Linked DNA regions of Diceros bicornis minor. The protein of the gene in region 1 interacts with the protein of each later gene in a pairwise test. Links are inferred from orthologs where the notes say so. Each region holds a gene or a part of one and is shown on either strand. Other genes may lie near its edges.

The links.
Region 2: the proteins of CDR2 (region 1) and C13H1orf216 interact in binary tests that used the Homo sapiens proteins (3 or more experiments, as listed by UniProt). The two-hybrid records come from large-scale screens. The link is inferred for Diceros bicornis minor from reciprocal best matches to the Homo sapiens genes CDR2 and C1orf216.
Region 3: the proteins of CDR2 (region 1) and TCHP interact in binary tests that used the Homo sapiens proteins (3 or more experiments, as listed by UniProt). The two-hybrid records come from large-scale screens. The link is inferred for Diceros bicornis minor from reciprocal best matches to the Homo sapiens genes CDR2 and TCHP.
Region 4: the proteins of CDR2 (region 1) and C11H4orf46 interact in binary tests that used the Homo sapiens proteins (3 or more experiments, as listed by UniProt). The two-hybrid records come from large-scale screens. The link is inferred for Diceros bicornis minor from reciprocal best matches to the Homo sapiens genes CDR2 and C4orf46.

What each region holds. Positions count from the first base shown.
Region 1 is NC_080765.1:31,136,488-31,144,098, forward strand, and holds the start of CDR2 (cerebellar degeneration-related protein 2), read right to left. Parts: upstream 3,017-7,611; 5' UTR 2,820-3,016; coding exon 2,741-2,819; intron 1-2,740.
Region 2 is NC_080752.1:50,002,455-50,010,101, forward strand, and holds the start of C13H1orf216 (UPF0500 protein C1orf216 homolog), read right to left. Parts: upstream 3,006-7,647; 5' UTR 2,859-3,005; intron 728-2,858; 5' UTR 723-727; coding exon 33-722; 3' UTR 1-32.
Region 3 is NC_080774.1:17,709,046-17,716,694, forward strand, and holds the start of TCHP (trichoplein keratin filament-binding protein), read right to left. Parts: upstream 3,017-7,649; 5' UTR 2,933-3,016; intron 1,721-2,932; coding exon 1,527-1,720; intron 1,007-1,526; coding exon 796-1,006; intron 180-795; coding exon 123-179; intron 1-122. UniProt on the Homo sapiens protein: Tumor suppressor which has the ability to inhibit cell growth and be pro-apoptotic during cell stress. Inhibits cell growth in bladder and prostate cancer cells by a down-regulation of HSPB1 by inhibiting its phosphorylation.
Region 4 is NC_080750.1:46,351,923-46,359,143, forward strand, and holds the start of C11H4orf46 (renal cancer differentiation gene 1 protein), read right to left. Parts: upstream 3,002-7,221; 5' UTR 2,915-3,001; coding exon 2,729-2,914; intron 961-2,728; coding exon 805-960; 3' UTR 1-804. Other genes in the region: ETFDH (electron transfer flavoprotein-ubiquinone oxidoreductase, mitochondrial), read left to right, coding at 3,574-3,607.

The DNA.
Region 1 (7,611 bases):
GAACTTAACCAGTATGCACTGGGCTGGCCCGAGGTTAGAATTTTTCAGCAATTTTAATTTAAAACGAATGCCCCAGCAAGCTTTGATACAAAGACTCAATCTACTTAAATAACGCTTCTATTGCAAAAGGAAAAAATTTTGTAGTGCTATGACTTTGAGAACAAGATCTTAAAAAGTTGTTCTAGCACCTCTCTCCAAATAGGGCTCGCTCAGTAAATTAACAGTGAGGATGTTAAAAAATGAACAGATGCCTGCACTTGATAAAATCCAGCTAGATTTGCTTATCAATCTGTTTAACAGGGCAGACCTGCTCCTAAACTTTATTCAGCAGGAAATACCTACTGAGGGCCTACCATGTGCCAGGCACTGTAGTGGGCACATACCAGGAGGCAGCATCTCCAGGCTTCTCTAGCCAACAGCTTCCTAGACCGTCAACTCCATGAGTAGGACCCTACCTATCCTATCTCGTGGATAGGCACTGTGGCCCCAGTGCCTACAAGAATACCTGGCATAGAGTAGATAATAAATTTTTGAGAAATTAACAAAATTTTAAATCCATTAGAAGTTTAGGAGTTCTTTAACATATAGTTTAACAAAATTCGGACAAAGATATCCTTTTATTCACACTGCAGCCTTCATTCTTCTACAGGCTATATTCACAAGTTATGATTGTTGGAATTTCACATCTCTTCTTACCCCATACACTTGGTTATGACATACAGGTTATGTCAAAGTCCATTGTGATAATGGACGTAAAAGTCTTTTGAAAAGCAGGGAACAAATTCCAAAAGCAAATTAACATTAAGGAGGTTTGGACGTGTGCTCTTTATGGCTTCAATAAGCTTGAACACCTGATGACTTCATTTTCATCAGAGGTTAAAGAGTTCCGCACGTAACCCCACCACGTTGCATTTGCTTCTAAGTAGACTGAAATATTACAAATGGTTGTTTCTAACAACCTCCCACGGGGGAAAGTGCAGCGTGGACGAAGGTATCCGATGGAAGAGAGCCACGAAAACAGTAAGCCTGTGTGAGTGCCTCAGTTCAACAGATATTAAAACTGAGCTTCTACGATGTGTTAAGTATTTTGCTAGATTCAAAACAATGAGCCTGTATGGACCCACGCCTCTCAAATGCAGGAAAGAAAAACATTTAGCTTTGATTATACAAACTGCTTAATTTATTACAGGCAAATGCTGCAACTGCACAGTGGCTGCTCCATTAACCCTGGAGAAAGTATCAAACTAGGCCATCAATCCTTATGGGGAATTCTGAAAACAGGTTTATTAAATGTAAGACAAATCTGTCTCGCAGAGAACATGATGGCAAATACTGCACTGCGGCCGCGAAATAACTTCGACTATATAAGCGTAAGGGTGAACAACTTTGGTTTCAGTGACTGTCCATAGCATATGGATTTAGAAATCATCTTCTCCCAAAAGAGGTGTTTATCTTCCTTTTCTGAACATGAGTCATTCAAGCCTACATTCTTTTTCCGCACCCCTTCCCCCTAAGTTCAATGGTTAGCCTGAACAAACATCATGGTCATTTACTACTCAACTAAATGAAATGTTAAGTTTCAGAGCAAGTTTGGAGCTGAAAAAATTGATTTACACAGAATTGCAGAAACAGAAGATGCCTGGAGAAATTCCTGAGGATTATTCAGTGTTCAGTATAGTGGTTCAGAAAGTTGGCGCTGGAGTCTGAAGTGGAATCCTAGTTCCCCGATAACAGTATCTACTTCCACCTCCCTAGTTGTTGGGAGCATTAAGTGAGCACCTGTTGTAAAGGCCTGTCAGTGTTTGGCACATAAAAAGCGTTCCCCAACTGCAAGTTCCTGCTATTAATATGAAAAAAAAAAAAAAAAAAAAGAGGGCTGCTCTAACGTTTTTCTCTGGAGACACAGCATCATCAAGAAATCCAAGGCAGGCCAAGATCCAAATGCTTGTGTTTAAATAAAAAAGCTGGAGTGCAAACTGAAGGAGGTGGTAGAGGTAGAAGTGTCCTCAAGTCATTTTATTTGGCATCTAAACTAAGCCTAAGCAATTTTTTTTTTTAAGAGTCTAACATCCAACTGAAGAAGCTGTAAACCGGATGGTAAAAAAGACACAGGATTTGGGCACTCCTCATTCTGAGTGTGTGGGTTCAAAAATACTCGCTCCCACACTTAACTCGAGGGAAGTCACTTAGCCGTTTTAGCCTCCGCTTTCCTCATCTGGAAAATGGGGATACTAAAAGTTACTCTCTCACCAACAGAGCTGTTGTGCGGACTGCGTGTGTGCAAAGGGTTGGGCACGTGCCACACGGGACAGCTTCCCCCGCCACCTGCAGCCGCTCCCACCCGGCGCGGGGTGGGACGACTCCCAGCGGCAGAGAGGCCGCGGGCCGAGCCTGGTCAGGGTCCCGCAGCTCTGCCTCCGAGGAAGGCAGTAAGGGTTAGATCAGCGAAGCCGGGGAAGGCGCTCCAGACAGTGCCTGGCGCAGCCAGCGATCCGCGCGCAGCAGCGATGATGGGGATCACCGAGCACAAGCCCGGGCCCCGGCCCCGCGCAGAGGCTTCTCTCCCGCGGGATGGGCGGGCGCGGCCGGTCCCAACGCCAGGTGAGCGCCAGACTCTCCCGGCACCTGGCACCTCTCGGCCTCGAGCAAACGCAACTTTTTACCAGTTTCGCGCCCAGGAGGAGCCTCCCCAGCCAGGCCGCCCGCCCGCCCGTCGTCTGCGGGGCGACTGCGCCCTCACCTTGCTGGAGGTCCTGGTGGTCGTACCACGGCTCGTCCTCCTTCATCTCAAACTCCTCCACCAGGTTTTCCGCCAGCATCTCGGCCGGCTCTTCCGGGGGCAGCGGCCCCCGCCGCCGCCGTCCCGCCTCAGCCGCTGTCCCGGGCGCTCCGCCTGTCCCTCCCTCCTCAGCCAGAGCGCCCTCGGGTGGGACGCGCCGCCGCCCGAGCTCCCCCGCGCCGCCCGACCAGAGCCGCACGCCGCGGACCGGCTTCCCGACTCGCCTCGCGCCACCCACCCGCCCCAATGGCGCGAGCGCCGCGGCTAGCGCCCCGAGCCGGCTCCTCACGCCGCAGCCGGGCCCAACGTGGCACTTCGGCAGGACCCTCCCCGGCCGGGGCTGCGATTCAAACCCCCGGCGGCGCCTCGACCAATCGAGAGCGGGCTGCTGGTCGAGGGGCAGCGACGTCGCCCAATCGCGTGTCAATGCAGGCCCGCGGGTTCGCCCGGCCTCGGGGACAAGCAGCCAATGGCGGATCTGGAAGAAACAAAGAAGGCGGGGAAAAGGCGAAGGGGTGCGGCCGAAGCCCCCGCCCTCTCCTGCGTTGGGACGCTTCTGGGAGTGCGTTGGTGTCGCTGGGTTGTGGAGGTGGCGGCTTCTGCAACGCCTGTAGTGGGTGTGGGTGTGGGGCCGCCCAGCCAGTAGACAGGTTGCGTGGGCCTGAGGGGCTGGAGTCCGGCCTCGGAGCAGTGGGACGTTGTCGTGAGGTGTCCTTCGTGCAGCCAGGAGGCGCGAAGGGTGCCGGGAGCCCGATGTCCGCTGCCCCGCCTGCCCCTTCGGGTCTTCTGACTCCCAGATTTGATGTCGTTGATGCGGGGAGATGAACAGTCGGTGGGAGTTCAGGGCTGTTAGCAGTTTGCTCCTTGACATCTGAGCCCTCACCTCCAATTCTCTGGGAAATTGTACTCGTTCGCTGTAAAACGGCTGGCCCCAGACGTACTTGAGAATCTGGGGGCGGGAAGGGATGCAGTTGAACCTATCTCCTTAGAAGAAAAATTGCGAGCATTTTTGCGTGCGATATCTAAAAGACTCGTAGACTACAAGTTAAGCATGTAGGTCGTGACGTTGCACCTGTAGAGAAGAGAATGAACGCAGCGCTAGCCCTTGATGGCCGGCAGAGCAGTGAACGCTTCTCCCCACAGACATGACGGTAACCACTGTTCGTGGGTTGCAGCTTTTACCATCATCATGCAGACAAAGCCGGGAAACTCTTAAATAGTGACAAACCACAACGTCAGTGTTCTCAACCTTGATGTAAAGGTAAAGGTACAGCTAATAGAAGACAGCAGTGCTCTCTTTTATAGTAGAATGCCAGCCAAGAAATGTAGAAGGAATAAAGGTGTTAGAAAGTAATAATCATAATGAAAGAGGAATGGTAAACTCAAGAATCCCTTTCTTCCGAATCCAGGTATACTAAAAGACAAAATGTTACTGATCTACATTTTATTGCTAGGTTAAAAAAGAAGAAAGCTAGGTCCCCTATAAAGCCTCTACTGCCCTAGTTGTCAATATTCAGGTAGAGATATTAGTCCAGAGCCAAAAGAAAAAACAACTTAAAACCAACTGTCTTAATTTAAAAATAAGTCACTACAGATAGAGCTGTTTGGAAGGAGAAATGATGGGATTTAGGATTTGTTGATGTCGATTTGTGGAAGATGAAGGGTTAGAATCATGCATCTGACCTTTAAGAGACTTCATCTTCCATAGTTGCTGATCCGCAAGATTGAAAGTGCTGGCTTTTTTCTCCATGGCAAATAGCTCATTTAATTATATATATAAAAATATGTACTCTTTTCTGATGCCATAGTTATAAGGATGTTAAATAGCTCATTTTGATTCCAAATCAGATGGGAAAGTGTATTGAAACGTTAACATTCTCAAAAAAAAAAAAAAAAAGAGAGAGAGAGAAAGATCTGGAGAATTAAAGTTATTGATAGTTTAAAATGTCAAAAAACAAAACAAAACAGGCTTTAAGCCTATTGTTGTTAGTGGGTTCTTTTTAAGGACACTATTTGGGGAAGCTTTTTTTTTCCCTGGAAAAATCTTGAACAAAAATTGCGTTGAAAAAGACATGTTAGCTTTCAGTGCTAGAAGCCCTGCTTTGGAGAGGTCTTGATCATTCTTTGAGAGTCTTAGTCATACCTTAGAAGCAATCATAAACAGCTTCTTCAGCAACATTGGTATTATTTGGTTTAGTAGTAGGTTAATGAATAACAACCCAAGTTGATTCTAAAAGGAGGGTTTCCTGTTTTTCATTTAATAATTCACTGGTGTTTAGTGAACCTGCCCAGCCTAACCACGACACCATTTTGCTAGTTTCAAACTCTTCTGTATAAAACATTTTGTGATAAAGAAGAACCAGTTTCAGAAGTCCTTTGCCCCTGCTTGTAAAGATATAATGTTCTCGATCTTTTGTGTTTTGTTGCCATAGTAAAATCAGGTAAGGAGAGTTTTATTTATTTATTTATTTATTTATTTATTTATTTATTTATTTTTTGTGAGGAAGATCAGCCCTGAGCTAACATCTGTGCTAATCCTCCTCTTTTTTTTTGCTGAGGAAGACCAGCTCTGAGCTAACATCTATTGCCAATCCTCCTCCTTTTTTTCCCCCAAAGCCCCAGTAGATAGTTGTATGTCATAGTTGCACATCCTCCTAGTGGCTGTATGTGGGATGCGGCCTCAGCATGGCAGGAGAAGTGGTGTGTCGGTGCGCGCCCGGGATCCGAACCCTGGGCCACCAGTAGTGGAGTGCACGAGCTTAATCGCTAAACCACCGGGCCAGCCCCAGGAGAGTTTTTAGATAGTGGTGGTGGCTTTGAAAAAATTGTAGTTGTTGATTTTCAGTTTGATACTTATTGAAATAAGTATTACTATGATGAAAATAATCTAAAGCAAAATATTGATAGTTCCCTTCGCAGATGGAAATAAGGAAGATTTTACTTCCTCCTCTGAGTATACATACACAAAGAGAAGTTCAGGCTATAGAGTTTTTCATAATGTTATTAAAACCTTATATTCACATGTTTCAGACAGGCTGGGTGCTTAACTCAAATTCTTTTTAGAAATTTGAGCTCGACTCAGTGAGAGCCAGCCCTAATGGCTTGGTGGTTAAAGCTGGGTGGGCTCAGCTTTGGCAGCCTGTGTTGGGTTCCCAGGTGCGGAACCACACCACTCATCTGTCAGTAGCCATGCTGTGGCAGTGGCTCACACAGAAGAACTAGAAGGACTTACAACTAGAATATACAACTATGTACTGGGGCTTTGGGGAGGAAAAAAAAGAAAAAGAGGAAGATTGACAACAGATGTTAGCTCATGGTGAACCTTTCCCAGGGGTTAAAAACAATTGAGCTCAGCTCAGCGAGTTTATGACTCTTTGTAAAATTCTAAGTTTATAAATACCTGCCTTCTGACTTAATGATAGATCAGTTCAGAAGGTATGGCATCCTTCTTGTTTTAGCATGCCTGAAATAAAACTAAGAAAAAGAAGAGTGAGTAGATTTTGGTGGGCTAAATTTGTACCTTGGCTTTTGGTTCTACTGACTCCCTTGTTTTGGGCCCTCTTAGAATCCCAGTGACCTTTAGCCTCTATCTTGCTTCTTATGGCAAAAGGAACTCCCTAGAATGAGGGCTTCACCAGTCATTCCCAGCTTGTTCAAATCTGAGAATTACCTTTAAAGCCAAAAATGTTGGCTGGCCTCTACGTAATAGTACTTGTATTCCTCAAGTGTTTGAGTGCTGCGTAGTGACAAAAAAAAAAAATTCAGATTTATATTTTATCATTAAGCAGAATCTACAAACATTTTGAGAATACTAGTACACGGATGGGCAAAATATTCTTTATTCCGTCGACAGACAATGCTTGATCTGCCTATGTGTTTAATAACTGCTTTTGATAATTCCAGGGTCCTACTTTCCATAGAATTAGAATCATGTATCTACTAGATGCAAAGTGAAACTCAGGGACTTAGGTAATTTGATCATTTGAGCCAAATGCTCCCTCCCCCACTTCTAACTTGCCCTCTCCTTCCCTAAGAAATTGGGTAATACAGACTGAGGTACCTGCTTAATTCCCAAGAATTATTTAAGCAAGTAACATCTCTCCAGTTATCTGAATATTTGTCTGTTTTCTGATTCAGTAAAATTGTGGAGACCTGGACAAATATTCCAGTAAGGCAGGGATGAAACAGGAAAATCATGGTGTTATGTTAAAACCATAGTCAAGATTAAAAGGAAGATGATCTATACCTACCTCTTGCTTGGTTAACCTTTCCCTGTTTTCAGTTGGGGAAATCAAGTCACTGAAAGAGTAAGACAATAGGCCAGATTTAAGAGGGACATCTACATCAGAGCAAGGACCAGAATGTGTTATTTCCAGATCTATCTTAGGTATGTTTTTGGGGCCAAAGTTACATAGTCTGTCAGGAGAGGATCAAGACTAAATCATCCAGTGCAAACCTGTACTACTGAGTGGACAACTTTATGCTAAGATGAAGGGCTCACTTCATTCCTTCTCTGTGACTTTAGCTAAAGGATATCACCTTGTTGTTCCTTTTCTGTTGCACTCTTCCAAGTAGGGAGGATAACAATGCCATAAACACATCTCCCTGGCCCGTAGTTAAGCATGTCCAAACTCTTGGATAAATCGCACTTTTGTAAGTTAAAAGAGATATTAAAAATGTATTCAAGTAGGGTCATACTCGATGCAAATTAGGGTTCCCAGCAACATTTCAAAAAATATTGAGTGTATGAGTAACAAAGTAAAGTGTTAATCTGGTTACATATTCACAGCTAGTGGTTTTAGACTCTTATTTAACTAAAATTAACTAGTCTC
Region 2 (7,647 bases), on another chromosome or scaffold:
ATATATCCTTGCACCCCTCTGGAGGTACACCCTTAGCGCTGGTCCTGGGGCCTGGATGGTGCTGCCCTCTGGTGGAGACAGCGGATAAGCTCCTTTCGGTTGTCTAGGATGGTGTCAAAGCTCTCCTGCAGACGGGTCTGCTGGTCAACCAACTGATGCTGCAGGCCCCGGATCCACTGGAGCAGGGCCAGGCGACGGTACATCACCAAGTGCACATGGTGCTTCTCCTTCTCCAGCTCTTTATAGCGCTCTTGAGCCTGCAGCTGCTGCACGGCCTGGGCCACCGAAGGCAGAAGGGGATCTGAAGGGCCAGGGCCTCGAGGGGTCCCACAAGCAGGCTCAGGGCTGCTGCTAGGGCTGTCGATGCTCAGGGAGCTGCTGGCATAGCCGTTGTCCTCCAAAGGGGAGCAGACTGTGCTGGTATCACCCATCTTCTCAGGCTCAGCTCTGGGGATCTCTGCCCCCTCTGGTGGGCTGCGGACCTCCCCCTCAGAAAGTCCAGAGGCCTGGAAGGCCTGATTGTCAGAGGGCAACTCAGAGGAGCTCTTCATCAGGATGGACTCCCCTTGGCCTGCCATCCCATGCCAATTCTCATTGGCATCCTTGGCACTCGCCATGAAGTTGGAGTTGCTGTCTGGTTGGAGCTCTGGCTGACATACTCCAGGAGGTGGGCCCCCCAGGAACTGGCCCCCCTCAGCTGGCCCTGGCTGGATGGCAAACATTTTGTCTGTACAGGGGAAGCAGAAGAATGAGTCAGAGCAGGACAGGGTAGGGGACCTGAAGTCATGGCAACTTAGCTGCAGGGACCAGGCAGCAAGCAAGAGCCTGGCTGCTCCTTCTCAGTTCCTCTCCCTCAACTCTGGTAACACCTCCCTTCGTGGTTTTCATCCTCCCTCTCTGACTGCTGATTCTCAGTCTCCTGCATCAGGTTTTCCCTCAGCCCTCTGAAGCAGGCTTTCTTCTCATCCTATGCACTTCTCCCCAGCTGATCCCATCCTCTGCTGCAGCTTCAAGAACCATCACGTGCTGGTGGCTCTCAGATCTGTCTGCGGCCCAGACCCAACTGCTATCCAATTCTGAAACCAACCATAGGTTCCTCAAATTCGACATGTCCAAACCAGCTCTCCCTCTTCAGTGTCCTCAGCAAAATGGCCCCACTCTCCATTCAGTCACTCCAGTCAGAGACCTGGGAGCATCCTGGACTCCTCACTCTGCTTCCTTCCCCCATCTCATTGGCCACCAAATTCTGACGATTCTTCCTCTTAAATACCTCTGTGTGTGTATGTACACACGTCTACTCACTTTCACTTGGTTCAGGCCATTTCTTACCTGGAGTACTGACTGCCACAGCCTTTTCACTGATCTCTCTGCCTCCGGTTAAAAATGTAAATTTGTTTTCTCATGGCTCCAAGTGCCCTCCCTAAACTCCGGATAAACCTCTCCACAACCTCCAAGGCTGTGCCTCCTCTAGCCCCCACTCACCCCTCCAGACTTACCTCTTGCCACTCTGCCCCTCCCACCACACAAAACTGCTCAGAGATCTCAAAACACACGGTTATTCTCTGCACACAATTCCCTTGGCCTCAATACCCTTCCTTTCCCCTCCCCTCTAAGCTCCTCCTTTCTCCACCCAGCAAATTCCTTTTTGTACCTCAAAACTCAGCTCTAACACCCCCACCTCCCTGAAGCCATCCTGATATTCTCCCCACTGTCCCAATACACACAAACAGTGAACTGTGCCTTCCTCAGGGTCCCCACTGCCCCGGGTATGCACTGTCTTATCCACGTTTGTTTCTCGTCCTTGGCACATAGTTGACCATCGGTAAATGTCCATTCAACTGTTGTTCTTTTTTAACTGTCTTATAATAACTGCTTATAAATCTAGCTCACTGACTAGACATGGAACTCCTCTAAATATCCTCCATCATGTTTCCCGGAGCCAGCACAGAGCCTGGCACTAAGCAGGCGTCAGTACATATTTGCTGAGTGACTGAATGGGGGACAGGGACTGCAGTGGGATATCCATGCTCAGGAAAAGAGAGCCAACAGCAGCAGGAGGCTATTGCTGGCTGCCCAGGGCTGGAAGAGCTGGGTTCAGTTCCCTCCCCCCGCCATGACAAGCTTCTCTTTTGACCTTGCCCCCTTCCCTCCACGTCTGCTATCTGTGTCCCTGACCTCAGCTAGCTTCATCCTGACGCCCTGGAGGGAAGGCATACCCCCTATTCTTTCCTCCCCAATAACCAGCTTCTACCAAAATCAGGGCTTGAATCGACAAGAGGTTTCTACTGACCACATCTTACTAGGATTAGAAAAACTGGGGATCTGTGAGAGTAAGGGATAGTGTAAGTGGAGGTGGCAGGGGCCTCCCCACATCAGTAGTGGGCAGAAGTCCTGGGGGAATGGTGTGGGGACAGTCCCTGTGTAACCTACGCACTCCCATCCCGCTAAGCAAGGTGCCTGGAGATATTCCCTGCCCAAATGTTTTCTTTTTCCTAAACTTGGGCGGGGCCACGAAGGAAGCTGGGATGCGGTGGCGGTGGTACTAAGGATCACGGGGTTCTCAGAGATGTAAAGTGGGAACCCAGACACCCCAGGCTCAGGCTTCTCTCCAAGCTAATCCGCAGTTTGCCGGGGTAGGGGGAAAGGTGGCTCTGTAAGGATGGCGGAGGCAGCCTCCCTTCCCGCCTCGCCTCGCGGGAGAGGGAGACTACCCCCCCCCCCCAAGGAGACAGAGGATAGAGACCATCCTTCCCTAATCTTCCCCAGGGAGGCAGCTGGGCAGAGGCTGCGACTCCCCGCGCCCCCCGCCCCCCACCAGCGGCTGGACCCCAAGCCCTCCCGCTCCGGCCCCGACTCACGGCCTGGAGGCGCCCGCCCTGCGCCGCTGGCTCTGGTTCCGCGGGCCCCGCGGCGGGCACTCGTCCCTCGCGTCTGGGGGTCCCTCGGCCTGGGCGCACGCGCGGGCCCGGGCGCGGGGTGCGGGGTTCCGGGGCGGCGCGCCCAGCCCCAGGCCGGGACTGCGGAGTCGGGCGGCGTCGGCGCGGCGGGGCGGGGCGGCGGGGCCCACGTGGGCCGGTTCGGTTTTCCGCGGAGCCGCGCGCCTGGGCCGCAGCGCCGGAACCGCCTACTCCACCTTCCGCAGCCTTGACCGAGGCCTTCCAGGTCCGGTTTTATCTCCTAATTGCATTCCCTGCGCCCCTCGCGTCGGTTTGCCTCACCGCAGATACAGTGGCATTTTCAGAATGAAAATCTGATCATGTTACCACGCTCCTGCTTAAAGCCCTTCAATGGCTTCCCCACTGCAGGGTAAATCCTCAAGGCAGCAGCCACAGGGCTCTGAGCATCCAGCCCTGTCTACGTCTCCAGCTTCATCCTTTTGCCCTCCATCTCTGCAACTGGGCCTCAGGCTCCTTTCTGCCATGAGGCTTTTGCACACACTGTTCCTTCTGCCTAAAATTCTCTTCCCCTTCTCGACTTACTCCTGTCTCAGATCGCTTCTCAGATAAACCTTCCCTGACCTCCTAGGCCAGATTAGATCCCCCTTTTATATTATCCCAGGGCACTTCGTACCTTTTCTTCATAGTATCTATCACAATTTGAAATTATATATTCATTTTGTGCTTATTTCATTAAAGTCACTTAATGAAAGCTATGTTTTAAGAGAAGAAAGAAAATTCCCCCTGGGACAGAGCTGGAGCTAATGTCCTGCACCCAGGCCCGGGTGGCTTCCTCCTGGCTGGGCAGAGAACCCCTCCATGCTGCCAGTGCAGTGAGCTCTTCTGTGAGCTGTGCAGTTTCTACTTACTGAAGCCTGATCCCCCTCACTCCCTTCCTTCTTGGGGGAAATGTGTAGGGGTTGGGAACTCAGTTTGCAATCAAAAAGAACAGAGTAATTGCTAACGTTAATGATAAAAGCAAAAAGTACTGCCTGGGGTTAGGGAAGTTAAAGCTTCTTAGATTAACTTCTTGCCTAGAGGCAGCCCCAGGAAGAAGACTGGGACAAATTTAGCCTTCAGGACACATAAGATTCCAAGAAGTCCCTTCCATACCCCCCACTTTATTGAGCAAACCAAGCGATTGGCTACACCTTCCTCGTGGCCTCCTCCCATTAAAAACAAAACGAAATTGGGCCAGGCCGGGTGGCGTAGTGGTTAAGTTCGATAGCTCCGCTTCAGCGGCCTGGCATTCGCAGGTTCAGATCACCCGTGCAGACATATGCACCTCTTATCAAGCCATGCTGTGGCAGGCATCCCACATATAAAGTAGAGGAAGATGGGCACAGATGTTAGCTCAGGGCCAATCTTCCTCACCAAAAAGAAAAGAAAAGAAAAGAAGTAACTCAAACTCTGGCCACTCCCCCAGCTAAGAATACACAGGCAGAGACTTCAACCCCATTTCTTCACCAGGTCCTGAGGCTTAACTAGTCTTCCCTTATCCACTACAAGTCCCCTCTTGCCTTTAGCCATAGTTTTCTCTCTTATGAGGTGACCCAAATCCTCACTCCTGAAGGCTCTGGGATTTGGTGGTCTAGAGTTATGCAGGTCTTCCCATGTCTTACAGCCATAATGGCATCTAGTTGTTTGGTGGGCCCAGAACAGCTCCTCCTGCCTCTCCTTCTGGATCTGTCTCTCCCAGCTCTAAAGGAGAGCCTGATGAGTCCAGGGATAGGGACTCCACTCCAGGTGAGTCAGAGTCCTTCTCTGGGACTTTCTGAAACAAAATTGAAGGAAGACAAATCAGGGAAGATGTGAGCCTAGGGCTGTAGCAATCACGTTCCCTGCCAAGTGGAAATCAGTTTGTAGTAGAAGAAAATGATGCTGACACAAGACGCAGAGACAAAAGACAGAAGTCCTGGTGATGTTCCAGTCTATTTCCTGAGGCCTTTGTACAGCTTCCAATAAGGCCCTTATTCTGCCAAGCCTAACAAGTGGAATTTCTTTCACCAGCATTCAAAAGAATCCTGATTAATACAAGAGCACACGGTGGTGACGCAGGGGTCCCCTGGGTCCCACTCATGCACCTCTCAGTCCTCATTGAGTAGTAGCCACTCTATTTCCCCTTGATATAGCGATTATCAGTTCAGCCTACACTGTGACCTCCTTTCTTCTATTCCTGCAGTAGTATGAGGAGCCTGAAATGCAATGGAATCATCTTTGTGTTCCCTGGTTAGAAACATTCCTCCCTAGATGCTAAAACCTCCTGACCTGCAGAACCTAGAATGTCAGAGACAGGAAGCGAAGTCTTTGAGAAAGTCATTAGCCCACAATCCCATGATGGGCTACACCCACCTCTACCTCTCCATATATATTCTGGCTACAAAAAACAGTCATATGTTGATTGTTGATTTAAAGCCTATATCGTATCCTGCAGGGCAGCACACAACCTGGCATAGCTGAGTCATCAACTGGTCATTCCATTGTTCTATAAAGTTAGTTGTTTCTAAATAACATAATACCTGATAAGTAAAGTGAATTCCAAGGGCATTGGACTGTGGCCTCTCTCTCTTCTTCTTCTTCTTTTTTTTTTTTGTGAGGAAGATTAGCCCTGAGCTAACATCCGACGCCAATCCTCCTCTTTTTGCTGAGGATGATTGGCCCTGGACTAACATCCGTGCCCATCTTCCTCTACTTTATATGGGAGACCGCCACAGCATGGCTTGACAAGCAGTGCATCGGTCCTCGTCTGGGATCCTAAACCTGCGAACCCTGGGCTGCCGAAGCAGAGTGCACGAACTTAACCGCTAGCCACCGGGCTAGCCCCTAGTCTCTTTTCTTAGTCAAGGGTAATGTGTGGGATTCTCTAGCACTGTATAATTAATGCAGTAAGTGCTCAGACAGTGGTCCCGGCCACTCCATAATTTTCAGAGAACTAGGAGCATAGAGAACAAAAACCCTAGGAAGGCAGAGGCATCCACGTCTGCATGACCATGGAAAAGCAGATGTATAGATGTCTGTTGTTCATTCACCAGAAGCTTCCTCAGTCAGGATGCCAGGGAATCAGTCACCCCAGGTGAAGGGGTGTCTGTGGCTGTGTCCACTCAGCTACATAGATTGCAGGAACTTAATTGGCAGGGACACAGAAATCACCAGAGATGGCTAGTATCAGCCCAAACAGGGGCTCTGCAGCAGGCCAGCCCGTCATGAAGATCCAGCAGCGGGCAGTGAGGAGATGTCTTGGCAAGCAGACAGATGTCCAAGAGAGGCTAGCAGTGTGTAGCCAGATCCAGGCCCTAGAGGCCTGGGGTGTCAAGCAAGGAGACAAGGGAAGATGAGAGGAATTTCTACTCCAGGAAATAGGACAGGTATAAGAGTTCCTTTATAGGTGGGTAATTTCTCAATGTCAGTACTCCCAGGAAGAAAGGGATGGTAGATCAAGGCGTTTCCATCTCAAGGACCTTGCGCCTGCCCATCCGTTCATTCAAATTCAGCACACAGTAACAGAGTGCTTACTCTGTGCCAGGTACTGTGCTGGGGATACAGAGCAGAATCAGAACTGGTGGTGACCCTGGGGAGCTCCCTGTTTAGAAAGGGAAATAGACAAGCATGGGCTATACAATGTGATGGGCCCTGCAACAGGGCTAGAAGGCAAAAGTATTGAGCACAAATGAGGGTAAGGAAAGGCCTCACAGAGGTGATATTTGAGCCAGGCTTTGAAGGATGAATAGAAGCTCACCAAGAGAAAGCAAGAGAAGGCAGAGTAGACCATATGCGGTGTGTGTGTTCAGAGTGTGTTCAGACAACACAGAGGAGGCCAGTGTGGCTGGAGCTGGGAGGTCAGTGGAGGTAGGAGATGAGGCTGGAGGATAAAGTTGGCCCAGTTTATGAAAGGCCTTGACCCCCATTCCAAGGAGCTTGGGCATCATCCTGTGGGCAGCTGGGAAATAACTGAGGGAGCCGCCAAAGGTTCCAAAGCACAGGCATCAGTTCTGGAGTACAAGCTACATTACGTCCTGCTTTCTTCTCTTTCCCTGAGCTCATGTCATCTATCAACTTCCCCACATTGCTTTGGGAACTTAGGCAAATCAAATCATCTTAACTTTTTTAGGTTAAATAAAAATAATATGACTTAACATTGGTAAATAACATTATAACTGTGAACATTGTTCCTTGGGCTCCCAAGACCAGGCACGGCCCTGGAGGAACTTTGATGGACCAGAGAGCCCTTAAGGCAGATTAGAAGGAAAATCATTCCTCAGAATTAGCTCATCTCAGGAAAGGAAGGCCCAGGAAGCTGGCGACCTAGTTGTTTTGTTCATCCACTTCTCCACTGCCTCTTAAAGGTAAAGTGCCGCTCTAGTCTATCAAGAAATTGCTGTGTGATCCCCTTAGGTAAGCCACGTCCATTCCCCACCCCCAGTATGGCTGTTTTCTCAGCTGTAAAATGAGGGGGAGGTGCATCAAATCTGAAATTTTAAAGGTTTTTTTTTTTAAGCTTTGGTATAATTTTTTTTGAACAAAATCTTTGTAACACATCCAGTTTGAGATCTTCTCTCCTCCCCTGGACCCTTCACCCTAAACGGCTTGTGAGGGGGCTCCCAGGAAGGTTTAAAGCTCAGTGGGACACAGTTTCAAATCCATTGCACCACGTGAACCTGGGAGACGAATTCCCCCCTCCACAGCCCACCCTCCCTCCTGACCCTGTAGGGAA
Region 3 (7,649 bases), on another chromosome or scaffold:
CCGGTGGCTGAAGTGTTCCCTCCTCTGTTTGACCCCAGCACAAGATCCAAGTTTAAAACAAGCTGGCTAAAATTATTTCATCTACTTAGGCAAATCAACGGAGGGATCTCCTTGGTTTTCACCTCTCGAAGTCTGGGGTTGTTCTTTTTCCAGTGTTCGTACAAAAGCTGTTCGGCAAGCTGTCAAGAAAACACAGAGAGGGAAAGCTGACGTTGCTTTTCAAATCCACTCACATTTTGGAGAACCGGCAATGGAAGTCAGCTCAGGCTAAGAGCTGCTCCACTGGCACGCTGTCACTACACCTGCCTTCAGACCTCCTGCCTGCCTGGCACCCCTGGCTCCGGGAGCCAGACACTTGAGTGGACCTGGACAGCATGACAAATCACTCTTACAATGGTGACAAAAGGGGGCCAAAATCTGATGTTTCAGATGGGTCCTAGATGCTACAGACCTGCTTCCAAATATATAGCAGGCTTAAAACACAGCTTGGGGCTCACCATTCCACACAACTACTTTGGAAGATAAAATACACCAGTCCCAGGCCTTTGTGGGACCATAGAACTTGAATAAAGAAAAAGGACTCAGATGTAATGATTTAAGGGGCCAAAGAAAAGAGGGATGACTTATGCAAAACACACGTGAAGAACAACTTAGAGTAAGCACTTTTCCCAGCTGGCTCGGGAGTTATCGCCATCTCACCAGACCAGAGCACCCAGCGGTGACCCCACATGCACAACGCTGATGGGCTCGGGATGCCCCGGCTCCATAGCTTCCTAAAGGGCTGTGAGAAGTTACCAGTTTCCTTTGCTCTTCTCGGGCCGACTTCAGATTCCCGTGCCGCTCCCGGATTCTTCTTTCCCGCGAGTTCATGCTCAGCCTCAGCTCCTCCAGTTCCTTGGCCAGCAAGTCCTGCTCCTCCAGCAGAAGCTGCCTGAGTCTCTCCCGTCTGGCTTCCAGATGCTTCCTCTTCTCCTCCTTCATCTTCTCACGCTGATAAGCATGCATGCTGGGTGAGAAGGAGCCCACCGTAAATCAATCATGCCACAGCCACACGTGGAACGCTCTGCTCTGCTGTGTGGGTAAAAGAGGCTGAGGGAGACTTAACATGCTGACACGGGAAGGTGTCCTCCAGCCAAAGTGAAGAGAGCAGGTCACAGAACACTACGCATTGTAGAATCTTGTTTTATATTTGTATATATTTATATACACACACAAATGGGAAAAAGTATGAGAGGACATGAATCAGGCTGTTAACTGTGGTTCTCTCTGGGGATGTGGAGTTACAAGAAAACTTCCAGATTCTCCAGATTATTGCTTTATCTTTTGCAGTGCAAAAGTTTTACTTCACTGAGGGTCTTTTTTTTCAATTTACAGTTGGAAAAACCTCATGCAGGTAATCTACGCTGTTCCGCAAACCCCTCGAGAAAACATGCTGTCACGCCACACTCTCCTGGTCCTTAAGGCCACATCCCCTCCCCAGCAGATGGCCCCCCAGCATCATCCAATCACAGTCACTACACAGTTACCTCTGCTGGTAGGAGGTCTTGGAGCTCCATTCTGCCTGTTTGGAGCTGCAGAGGTCGGACATCCGGAAGTAGTGGCTGTTCTGATCCCACTGCTGCCGGAGCCGGGCCTCCTGCTCTCGCTGTCGCTGTCGTGCTGTCTGCTGATCCTGGAGCCTCCGGCTGCACCAGTATGAGGGCAGCGTGGGGAGGGCCATCTGAGAACAGCAATGGTAGGAAAATGAGTCGCTACAACCCCAGGAACCCTCACAAGCTTGGCCTCATCCCTTTCATAAGTGGTCCTCCCCGCCTGGCTGCACGCTGGAATCGCCCGGTGGAGGATGGCCCCATTCCAGACCAATTAAATCAAACAAGTCTTGGTGTAGGCCCCAGACATCAGCATTTTTTAAATGATCTGCCATCACGGTTGCGAATCATCGGTTTAAATAAGCCTAGATGGCACCCGGCTATGGGCAGACACCATCAAGGGCACTGGAGATGGAGACAGGGAACCACTCTTAGCAATGCTGGACCAAGCACAACAGGGCCTTGTATGCTCTGCTTAAAGTAACACGGATAGTAATTTAAGGAACATGTGTATGTGCCAAACTTTTGACATTCATGACCTTTTCATTGTTATAATCACCCCATTATTCGGCAGGTGAAGCAGCTTAAGTTCAAAGAGGTAAAGTGACTTGCCCAAGACCACAAAGCTGGGAAGCAGAGGAAATAAGAGAGCTGGGATCCTAATTCATGTCGGTCAGAGACCTGGGCCCGGGCTCTGTAGACTGCAAGAGGCTGCCAGTTGGGAGCACGATGCCCCGGCTTTGGCCAGAAGGGGCCTAGCCTAGGTGTCACACCTGGAAGTTTCCTGGGTTACATGGAGGGCAGATCCCTCATCCTACAGATGGAGAAACTGCTACCCAGAGAGAGGAGTGGATTTGCCAGGGTCACAGAGCAATCAGGGAACACAACTGGACTCTTGAATGCAGAGCAGTCTCACTCGGGACACCTTTTCCCCTGACCCAACAGCTGCCCGCATGTGCAGGGTTTACACAGTGCTTGACTGGGACAGTGCGTAAGGAACGTCTGCTGAATAAGCCCATAGGCCCGGGTCCACGCCAGGTCTCAGACTCCGAGGCCTCCAGAGCTGGGGGAAACCATCCGCGGCTGTGGGCCAAGTTTAGCCTGCGGCTGCCAGTTGATGCTCTGTCTCGAGACTGTGGCGGGCTTGACAGACTTTCTTCCTCGCCCTGTGAGCCGCCCGTGGATAAATCTTTGCACCAGGAGCCAAGAAACTTAAGATTCCGGTGCCGGATCGGCCACCCACAAGCTGAGCGGCTCCCTGAACCCCGGAAGCCAGCGCGGGGCCGCCTGCGGCCGGGCTCTGCGGGTCCCGGCTCCCGGCCGCGCCCCACCTTCCCACTCACGTTTCCGAAGAGTCCCCCGGCCCGAGCTCCCGCGCGCCTCAACCAAGCCCGGCCGGTCCCGCCGCGACACTCCGCGGCAGCGCAGCACCAACGCCGGCCGTTTCTCGTTGCCCGGGCAACGGACCGGTGACGGAGCGCCGCGAGGGTCAAGCCGCCTCCCGCGCAACGCCGGGCGCGCAGAGACAGGAGGCTGTGGTTTTTCTCTGGCGCCCCCTCGTGGTGGGCGGGAGATAATCGCAAACGTCGTTAGTCCTGGAAACAGAAGGATGATGGAAAAGAATCCACTTACTACACAAAATTCAGGATGGTGGTTACCTGGAGGAATGAAGGTGAGGGTGGGGGGAAATCAGGGGGGTACGATAGGAGAGGGGAATAACAATCAGTGGTTCTTAAGCCTGGCTGCACATGAGAATCATCTGGGGAGCTCTTAAAAATACAGATGCCTTAAAAAATAAAATCCAGATGCCCAGACCAAACTCCAGACAAATCCCATCAGGCTCTCTGCGGGTATCAGTGGCTATCTAAGCTCCCCAGGTGGGTTCAGTGTGCAACCAGCTGGGAGAACCACTGGTGTAAGTAGATATGAGTTATTGGTGACTTTCCATTGTCCTCTTAGATTGGTGGTGGGTTCAAGGGTGTTCATTCTGTTAGAATGTTTTATAACTCACGAGTGTTACAAATAATGTTTTATGTATCAACTATTTCATTAAAAAGATAATAAAGAAAAATATTCACTCTTTCATTCATTCTCCTGTTATTTTCTTCATGTCTTCTTCCTTTCATTCCTTTATCAGTTTCTGTTTTTCCTGGATACAGTATAGTATCCTGTTGAACATCGTGGTCTCTATTCCAACCTCCACCACGCAAGTTGTGTGGTCTTGGGCGGGTCACCTGATCACTCTGTGCCTCAGCATCATGTCTGTGAAATGAGAATGTTACAGTAATTGAACAAGGGGGCCATTGGACCAGGGTGGCTCTAACGGCTCTGTAGCCCAGCTACCAAACCGAAACCTAAGCCGGAGTCAATGTGCTCGAATCCAAGAAAATGGAACTTACCAATCACAGTCAAGTAGGCTTCCCCAAATAAGGCCACCACTACATCCAATCAACCCATTTCCTTCTGAGTCTTCTCTATAGAAACCTCTCCCCTGGTTCCTGTTGGTGGAGCGCTCCCAAACACCTTTGGTTTGACGCTCCCCAATTTGAATCCATGTATGCTCAAATAAACCCTTGAAAATTTTAATGTGCCTCTGTTTACCTTTTAACAAGAATACCAACAGTGCTGCTTTCTAGGGCTGCCTCCTGAGAGGAAATGAAGATTTAAATGATGAGTGCCCTGGAGCAGAGCACCTGGGGCATCTCCAGCGAGCATGCTTTCTTTCTCATCTCCCTTTTCTTGACATGTGTTTACTCGGAGTCTGCTCTGCCCCGGGCATGAGCTTCCCCACGGTTACCCTCCCATTGGTCCCTACCCCTTTGGCCAAGCTCACGGCCACTTTTCCATATTGTGTTCCCAGCGGGCAAGAGAGGCAGAGCCACCCACTGTGACCAGCCCAGCCAGAGCTGCCCCCCAATGCAAGAGCTCACTGTTGTTGGCAAGACTCCTTGAGTGGTAAGAACTTCAGAAATACGTGAATCGGGTCACTTTAGGTTCTGATTTTGTGCCTCTTGGGTGAGGCTCTTCCTCTCTCTGGGCCTCGGTTTCCTCATCTGTATAATGGCCTTAAAGGACCAAACAAACCCCACTAGTGGGACTCAAGGGCCTAGGGCTAGACTGGCCTGGTCCTGGAAGCCTGAGCCCCAGGCCATGGCCTCTGGGCTTCTTCTGCTGGACAGTCATCCTCACCAGCACCCACTATTCAACTTCTAATGAGCATCTTTACAAGTATCTTTTCCTTTGTTCCTCCCAGGAGCCCTGTTGTCCCCATTTTAGAGTTGCCTAAACTGAGCCCCAGAGAGGCGGCATCACTTGCCCAAGGAACCACAGCGTGTAGGTGGTAGAGCCAGGATTTGAACCCAGCTCTGTCTGACTCCAGGGCCTGTGCCCTCTCAGCAGCACCACGAGGGCAGGACTCATTACCTTCCCTGCTGTCGTTCCAGCGCCTGGCCCATAGGAGGCACTCAATCAATATTTGTTGAGAATGAATGAGTAGATTCCCCAGCTTGGAGTCCCTTCTCTTCCTTCTCCCAAAGAAAAAGGGAAAGATGGTGTTGAAAGAAAGACAAAAAGGAACTAACGTTGTTTGAATACCTACCAGGTGCCAGATGCTTTTAGGTGGATTCCCTTGCTTAAGCCTCCTTCCAACCTGTGAGGTTCCTGCCCCCATTTTGCAGATGAGAAAAGTGAGCCTCAGAGGTGAAGCAACTCTCCTGAGGTCACACAGCAAGGACTATGAGAGCCAGGACTTACACCCAACCTCCAGAGCTTGCGAATCTCTCTTCAGTCTGCTTTTCCAGGAGCTTGCAGCTTGCAGGTGTAGCTCTTAAAAGAAGCCAGCGGATGCGGACCAGCTGGGCCAGATCAAGAGTTCAGCAACATTAAATGTTCAGTGACAGGTTGATGAGGATGGCCCACAGGGGGCTGAAAGAGGAAGCCCTGGCAGGGGACTGTCGAGGTGGACGCTGCACACACTGGGTCCTGGGCCAGCGCACAGTTACTCAGGGCTGTTCTTGGACTTGTGTCTTTGGCTGTCCTACCACGGGAGTAGAAAACAGGAATGAGGAGATGGTGTGATAGCCCGAGAGCAGCTCCCCATTAGCTGGAATGTGACAGCGCTGGAGGCCGTGCAAGGCTGTCACTTAATTAGCAGGTGGGATTGCCAATGCACATTTATCTACACTGGGTTATCATGCATTTCAACATGAGCCATTCTGGCTTCTCTCTTCTGCCCTGCGCTGGGCTCCCCATCCTCCCTGAAGACAAAGGATGCAGAAGTAAACGGGGAGCTCCAAGACCCTGGGGCTATGGGGCTGCCTCTCAGAGCCTCAGTTTTGTGTTTTAATAATAATAACAACAGGAATAATAATGTGTAGGTATCCATGAGAAAAAAGTGTAAAAGGGCTTTCACCAAAAACAGTGGCTATCACTAGGGGGCAGGATGAGGGGTGATTTTAATTTTTATTTCTCTCTGGGTTTTTAATTTTACGATGGTCACTCTTACTTGTGTAACTTATTAAAAAGTAATGCGCTGGTTGGTTAATCATAACAACCTGCGTTTCCATCATGTTTTATACTTCCTGAGGTGCTTGCAGTGCACCAGTGGCTCTCAACTGTGGCTGCAGGTCTGAATCACCTGGAGAGATTTTTTAAAATCCTGATACTTGATCCGAGACAGAGGTTCTGATTTAATTGGCCAGGGATGGGGCCTGGGAGTCTTTTTTTTTTTTCTTTTTTTTGCTGAGGAAGATTTTCCCTGAGCTAACATCTGTGCCAATCTTCCTCTATTTTGCATGTGGGTCACCACCACAGCATGGCCACTGACAAGTGGTGTAGGTCCACGCCCAGGCACCAAACCTGGGCCACCAAAGCACAGCACACCAAACTTAACCACGAGGCCACGGGGCCAACCATAGGAGGCTATTTTTTTTACTGAACTTTTAATTTTAGAATAGTTTTAGATTTATAGAAAAATTGCAAAGGTAATTGCAAAGGTTATACTTCGCATCGACTTTCTCCAGATATTAACATTTTATATACGTTATATGCTTCTGTAGGACGAAGTCTGACATGGGTCTCATGGGGTTAAGTTCAAGGTGCCAGCAAGGCTGCATTCCTCTCTGGAGGCTCTAGAGGAAACAGGTTTCTTTGCCTTTTCCAGCTTGTAGAGACCACCACATTCCTTGGCTCGTGGCCCCTTTCTCCTTCTTCAAACCAGCAGCATAGCATCTCCCTCTCACCATTCTTCACTAGCCACATCTCCCTGGACCACAGCTGGGAAGGCTTCTCCACTTTTAAGGATTCATGTACCTACCTGGATAATTCAGGATAACCACCCCATCTCAAGGTTTTTAACCTTAATCTCATCTGCAAAGTCCCTTTTGCCATGTAGGGTAACATATTCACAGGTTCTGGGATTAGGAGGTCGAGGCCATTATTCCACCTACCATGGAGGGAAGGGGAGCACAACCTTCATCGTGGTTCACTTTTAGTTATTGTCATTCAATTTTATTTGTTTGTTTGTTTTCCCTGGATGCTACCACATCGATTATCCCCCCAAGCACTCCTGGCCTATGGCGCTTACCTCCTTCCTGCCAATGTGGAGGTCATCGCCGTGAAAGAAACCTGTGCAGGTAATCCTGCCCTCCTCTGGTGTGTGGGCAGACTCTCCCATTACGCCTCCATTGATGCCTCATCTGTAAATCAGGTGAGCTCATCAGACCTTATTCTAACAGGCCTGCTACTCTGTGTAGAGGAAGCTGGAAAATGGAATTCAGTTCCAGAACCTTCCATCCAGAACCCTCAGGTAGCTCAGCCTGCTTCCATCTGGAGTACATTTATCTGTTGGAATGGCTCTAACTTCTGTTGGTATTCATATTATTTTTCAAAGCCAGCCCGATGTGAAGGAAGGAGCCTCCAATTAGCCCCAAATTATTTCATATCTCTGAACTTCAGTTTTCTCATCTGTAAAATGGGGATAATAGTACCGGTTTGTTATTTTTTTTTTATTGCGGTAACATTGGTTTATAACATTGTATAAATTTCAGGTGTACATCATTA
Region 4 (7,221 bases), on another chromosome or scaffold:
ATAACAACATCGAATGCAAGAAATACTATCTGTAAAAGCAGTTAACCATATGCATTCTTTCCAGACAGGCTTTCATTATCTGAAGTAAAAGCTTTTCTAAAAAGCATCATAGAAGGGCAAAAAATATTTATTATATTTTAAAAAGCTATCATCGAAGTTCAAATCCCCGTAAAAAAAAAGAGAACGTTTCCCTTCAAGTCAATGAGGTTCTAATTCAAATATTTTTTACAGAAACAATTATAATCTTCATAGTAAAGACAGGAAGAAAAAAATAGCCTTTAATTATGTTGTTAACTCTTTTATTCAACAAATACTTGGTGATTGCTGTGTGACACTGTTCTAGGTGGTGGGGATAGAAAAAGAAAGAAGACACAATCGTTGGTTCTAGGGAACTTAGCCTAGTGGAGCTGGATCTAACATTGGTAACCTAGAAGTTACCTCCCTTGGTCCATAAAACGAAGCTCAACTTCAAACTCTGCCATTCTTGGCATCTTCTGGCAAAGCAAATAGAATAATGGTCCACCTAGTTTGCTACTGCTAACACTGTGGCCTTATTAATATTATCTACTGATGAAATTAACTTTCATAAAGGATTCTATTAAAAGTTTAGAGGACAGAAAGTATTTAAAGATAAACAAATACTGGCCAGCATCAAAAATAACATCAGTATTCTGCTTTCCCAAAAGTGAAGAAAACCAAGAAAAATTTCATTCTGAGTATACAGAACTGCTGGAGCTTGTCCTATACATATGGTACATGTGCAAATATCATAAATGAGGAAGCGTGAATTATGACACAGCCAAATCAGTTGTCAGGCTTCAAAGAATCATAGCCTTCTTTCAAAAGGTCCCTCCATGTTTTGAGGAAACGTGCATTTTCTGTACATTTGAAGGCAAGTTCTTCCACTTGAGCTGATACTGCAGATGTGGCTTCAAGAAGTTTGGTTAATGAAAATGCTGCCTGAAATTTCAAAAAAAAAAGTCAAACAATAGAAGTTTATTTTTTAAATTGTCATCTCATTTTATAAACAGTCTACAAATAGTTTAAAACTGAATCCAATGCCCAAGTTGTTTTCTTTGAAAGTAAAAAAAATCTTCAAACTAAAACAGCGGCTCTGTCTGGGAACCTAAGAAATTCTTTAATATGAAGTAAGCTTCTGGGAACCTAAGAAATTCTTTAATATGAAGTAAGCTTTAAAGAACAATGCATTATGTATGAGACATGACAAGTCAGTATTTTTTTTTTAATTGAAAATACACTGGAGTCTCATTTAGCTCAACAAGACGACTTGGACCCCTTGACACTAAGTCCCAGAAGTACTAAAGGACTTCTTCATAAACAATCCTTACTGATATTTGGGTAACAAAGGCATTATTCCACTACTTTTACCAGTAAACACTTTAGGCCATGAAAATGTATAAACCAAAGAACAGATACTCTGAGCTGACCAATAACCATCAACAAAATCAAAACACATGCAGAAAATATCCAACTCGTGATGGAAAATCCACTTCTTACTTAAATGTTCTCTTCACCTAAGACCCTGTTCCTAGACATCAGCACTCCATTCTACACATTCACTTGAAACCAGTCTTGTCGGCAAAAATTGAAGCTCTATCAGCACTTTAGTCATCTTTTAAAAAAACAAATACTTGGGGCCGTCCCCGTGGCATAGCCGTGAAGTGCGCGCGCTCCGCTGCTGGCGGCCAGGGTTTGGATCCCAGGTGCGCACCGAGCAACACTTCTCCGGCCATGCTGAGGCCGCGTCCCATATAAGTGGAGGAAGATGGGCACAAATGTTAGCCCAGGGCCAGTCTTCCTCGGCAAAAAAAAAAAAAAAAGAGGAAGATTGGCATCGGATGTTAGCTCAGGGCTGATCTTCCTCACAAAAATAAAAAAAAAAAAAACAAATACTTGTTGAGCAATGAGATAATCGAGTTCATTCCCCAGTTTCCAATCCGCACAGGAGAGTGTATTCCACAAAGTTCTCCCAGGAAGATTACACCCTACATATCTCATTCACTTGACCCACTCAAGAGTCCTTAAATAATCAAATTGTGACCCTCTCCGGTGGTGTGTGTGTCCGCGCGCGCTCGCGCTAGTTTCTGGGAATTGGAGATTCAGAAGAAACCATCCATTGCTATGCATTCTAGCAATCATAGGGAGGGGTCTTTGACTAAACCGTTAGTGAAACCAATCTGGACTACAGAGGCCGTGACTAACTCCTCCAAACTGGGTCCAACGCAAAGCGAGCCTGAGACAGACAATAGCATTGTCAGCTGGCTCTGGGCAGGTGGCCAACTAGAACAGTCCCGCGGAGAGAAATCACAGGCTGATCTAAGCACCAACAGACAGCCAGGGGGGAGGATGAGAGGGCAGGCAGAGCCAGCACGAGGCAGCACAGCAGAGCTGCGTGGTTTCGGGTTACAGCACAAGATTGAAACCAGAAGGCGAGGCCAAAAGCAAACAGGGATGGGGCGGGCGAAGGCATAACCCGTTAACTCCTCAACACTAAATCTAAAGACAGAATCGTCGGGGGGAGGGGCCTTTGGTCGCCGGCTTCCCCCACCCCACCTCCCAGCCCACCGCCCTTACAGGGCAGACGGTCGAGACGCGCCAGGCCGGGCGCATGGACTCCCGGTCCCTCCTTCCCTGGCCCCCCCGCGGTGTGTCTTCCGACAATCGCCGAGTGGGGACCCGGCTCCGGGACCGGTGGGGCGACACTCACGTCTCCGATCTGCAGCTCCACCTCCTCCAGCGGGTCCACCGTTCGGCTGCTGCTCCTGCTCGGAACCGGCCAGCCCAAACTCACTGGGACGCCGGGGGAAGATGCTGAAGAGGCGTCTGAAGACGAAGGAGAGAAGGGAGGCGGCGGGGACGGCGAAGAAACCTGCACCTCCTCGGGGTCTGCCATGGAGAAGGGCTGGGCCCGCGGAACCGGACCTTAGCAGCCGAACCGATACCAGCTATCTTTCAACTGCTCGCGCCCAAAGCCCAGAAGCCCCGCCTCCTCGTGGGCGTCTGCTCAGGACCGCGAAGACTTCATTTTTTCCGGACAGCCAATCATATGTAAGTCAATTCACCTTGTGCAGCTCACTGCTCCTGCGCACAGCTCCTGCCAGGCTCAGAGGGCACTTGAGCAAAAGACTACAACTCCCAGGATGCCGTACGCGTCGGTCCACCTCCCACTACCATTTGCTGCGCGCGCGTTGCACTATGGGATTTGTGGGTCCTCCCGCACTGCAGCGGGCTTACCACGCCTGAGTGAGAAAAGCAGCACAGACTCAATCCGCAACGTGCAGCCGCGGGCAGCGCTGGGACTTGCAGTCCGTTTCCTTTTCCTCCTTTTGGGCACATGACCCGCAAGCCCCTGCTGGCCGTCGCGTCATGCGTGGCGCCGACGCAGAGCGAGAAAGAGGCTGGAACGCTGTGAAGCCAGAGCGGTCGGCTGAGCAGGGAGACAAACTTCAGTGGTGGTGATGGCGCCCCTCGCGGCTTAGAGGTCCAGCGCACTCGGCGAGCTGCAGACAGTCCATCCTTTGTGTCCGACGGAGAGTCCTGGTTACACTGAACATGTTGGTGCCGCTAGCCAAGCTGTCCTGCCCGGGTGAGAGGGAACTCCGAGCGGGGATAAGCGGAGGGAGGTCGAGGAGTTAGGGCGAAATGGACGGGGCCACATCTGAGGGCTGTAGGCATCTCTTCCCTATTCTCCTTTCGTCGACGTTCTCAGGCTAAACTAGAACAAAGGTCACGCTGTCTGCGCCTGGTGGTGGACCCCAGATTCTTCCCCCGGGGGCTGTCCCAATTGGAAGAATTGACAACTAGGCTAAAGGTCGTGGGCGGAGGAAACTGGTCAACACGGCCCGCGCTGGACTCTTGAACTTAATCTTCCCAAATGTTGGTCCTAACCCTTATCCCAAAGCTCAGGTGTTATCTGTTGCCTTGTCGAAAATGGGTAAAATAATATTTGCGAAGTTTTTCTCCTTGGTCCTGACCTGACTTGCGTCTTTGCAGCCATCCTAGTATGTTCTTAAGAATTTGAAGTCTGATCTGTCACATCATGATTAACATTCCCATACTGCCCATGTCACCAGGTTATATCTGCAGCCAGGGATTTTTCTACATTGTCTAAAATTAACTCTAGGGGCTTATCGTGTTATGGGTGCTCCTAGAACCCTCGTGATGACTCGTGAGAATACCTCATTAACTCCCCCTTTCACTTAAAAAAAAAAAAGGTTGAATGATGCAGTTGGATAGTGGTTTGTTTTGTTTTTCTAAAAAAAAAGCTTAAAAATTCAAAAAAGTTTACTACAGGATCTTTATTTCTCTCACAATTGGCTTTTTTATGTTTAGTTTAAGTTAATTTGTGTGTGTGTATGTGAGGAAGATCAGCCCTGAGCTAACATCCATGCTAATCCTCCTCTTTTTGCTGAGGAAGACTGGCTCTGAGCTAACATCTATTGCCAATCCTCCTCCTTTTTTTTTTTTCCCCAAAGCCCAAGTAGATAGTTGTATGTCATAGTTGCACATCCTTCTAGTTGCTGTATGTGGGACGCAGCCTCAGCATGGCTGGAGAAGCGGTGCTGCGGTGCGCGCCCGGGATCTGAACCCAGGCTGCCAGTAGCGCAGCCCACGCACTTAACCTCTAAGCCACAGGGCCGGCCCTAAGTTAATTTTTGGTTATAGAATAAAAGCATACATATTGCAAATTCAAGGATGTTCTTAATATGTAAATTTCATGATAGTAGAATTTTGTCAAATTTGGCCACCATATATTAAATAATTAGAATTTTGTGTAAAGTTCCTGTTACTCATGGGTGTATTGCTACACCTAAGGTATAGATATGCTTTATGTTTTTGGAATATCAAAGTAGTCAGATGCTATCTGCCCTACTGTCTAATTTAGTTCAAATCATTCTAATTTAGTTCCAAGTGCTAACCAAATTCCACAAAATCGCCATTTCCATTTTCCTTGGATGCTTGTCGTTGCTATTTTCATACCCTAGAGTTAGCACTACTGGCAAGAAAGAGATGGACACAAATGCACCATCAATGTGACTTTAATGTGGTGATGTTGTGAGTTCAATGGACTTTCTGACCTCAATTCTCTACCAAAATTTAGCCAAGGTGCCTAAGTGTTCAAATCTCTAGAGTGAAATATCAGATTTGTTTTCAGAAAAGGGGTAAAGGTCGTGACTTGTTTTTTTTTCACCCGCTGGAGAAAATCAGACTGCCCAGTTCCAAATATTCTCAAGAAAATCACTAGCTGTATAAGCAGTAGAATTACAGTTTTGTCTGATACCAAATCATCAGTTTTCAGAAGCAAATGATAACTTGTATACATCAAACTGCAATGCATCATAAAACAAATATTTTTAATATCATTTAATAATAATATAAATAAATATTTAATATTCTTTTGAAGATGATAATACTATATTTCAATTCTGGAACTGAGTTCTATAATATCTTTATTTATGTATCTTACATACATTTTTTTCAAGGTTTAGGAAGGTGAAGAGTTATCTAAGGTTTAAAAAATTATTCCCAATACTATAGTTGTTAATATGCATTTGCAAGTAGGGAAAATTTGTTTCCTTGCTGCTTTTTTCTAAATTATTTTATTGAGGTCATAATGGTTTATAATACTGTGTAATTTCGGGTGTACATTATTATATATCGGTTTCTGTATAGACTACATCGTGCTAACCACCAATAGTCTAGTTTTTATCCGCCCCCATACATATGTGCCCCTTCACCCCTTTCTCCCACCTCCCCACCTCCTTCCCCTCTGGTAACCACTAATCTGTTCTCCTTATCCATGTGTTTGTTTATCTTCCACATATGGGTGAAATCATACAGTATTTGTCTTTCTCTGTCTGGCTTATTTCGCTTAACATCATACCCTCAAGGTCCATCCCTGTTGTTGCAAATGGGAAGATTTTGTCTTTTTTTATGGCTGAGCAGTATTCCATTATATATATATACCACATCTTCTTTATCCATTCATCAGTTGGTGGGCACTTGGGTTGTTTCCACATCTTGGCTATTGTGAATAATGCTGCAATGAATATAGGCGTGCATAGATCTCTTTGTATTGTTGATTTCATGTTCTTTGGATAAATACCCAGTAGTGGGATAGCTGGATTGTATGGTATTTCTGTTTCTAATTTTTGGGGAAATCTCCATACTGTTTTCCATAGTGGCTGCACCAGTTTGCTTTCCCACCAGCAGTTTTGCCACTTTTTTTGAATAATTATCAAACAGATTTTTAGTGTTTAAATGGCTTTAGAGTTCTGCCACTCCAAATCTCTTCCCTTCTTGCATTCATCATAATCTTTAATTATTGATTGTCTGATGTCAGGTTTTTATTTTTTTTAAAAATCATTTTATTGGAAGGAGTAAAACATAAAAATATAATAATTATGCAATTGAGTGCTAAAGAATAAAAATAATTAGCCTATGCTAGGCTGTCATCTCTCCATTTAACCAGAAAAGAAAGGAAGAGAGAGAGAGAGAAAAAACAACTTGTTTTCACCATGGCTCAGGTTCTGTTACTTCATAGATCATTTCAAATCCAACTGTAGTCTCAGAACTTGACTGATGTTGGAAGGATTGAAACTGAGCTTGGCTGAGATCATTATCTACTGTAAATGGGGTTGTAGCTGCCCTACATATCTCACAAGGTATGAAGGATAAGACGTGGTTTTAAAATTGAAAATTCTTAACTGTTCAGTATGTCCATGAAAATGTAAATTTTATTATATATTCCAAATCCATGCTAAAGTCTTTGTTGACCTTTACTATTTATTTGTTATAGTCCAAATTTAGAAGCTTGTTCATTTGCAAGAGATGCTTCATTATAAGAGACAAGTTAAAAACTAGGAAAGACCATCATTATTATTATTGCTCTATAACCCAGGAATTAGTTTTAGGAAATTAAACCAAAGATTTGTGCACATTCCTAGATGACAGTTGAAATTGTAACTGGGAAGGTACCTATCCAGTTAACAAATATGTATTAGTGACGTGCCTTATGTTAAGATATATACTAGATCCTACACCGTAGTATTACCAAGGCAAAGATTAACCATGAACTTTAGAGCTGATGGGGTGGGAAGAGTTAAATAACTTGCTGAAGGTTTCCTTGCTAGTTAATGAATTCAAACACAAAGTAACAAAGTAGACAGACTCCAAAGCCTGTGTACTTAACCAATGCTT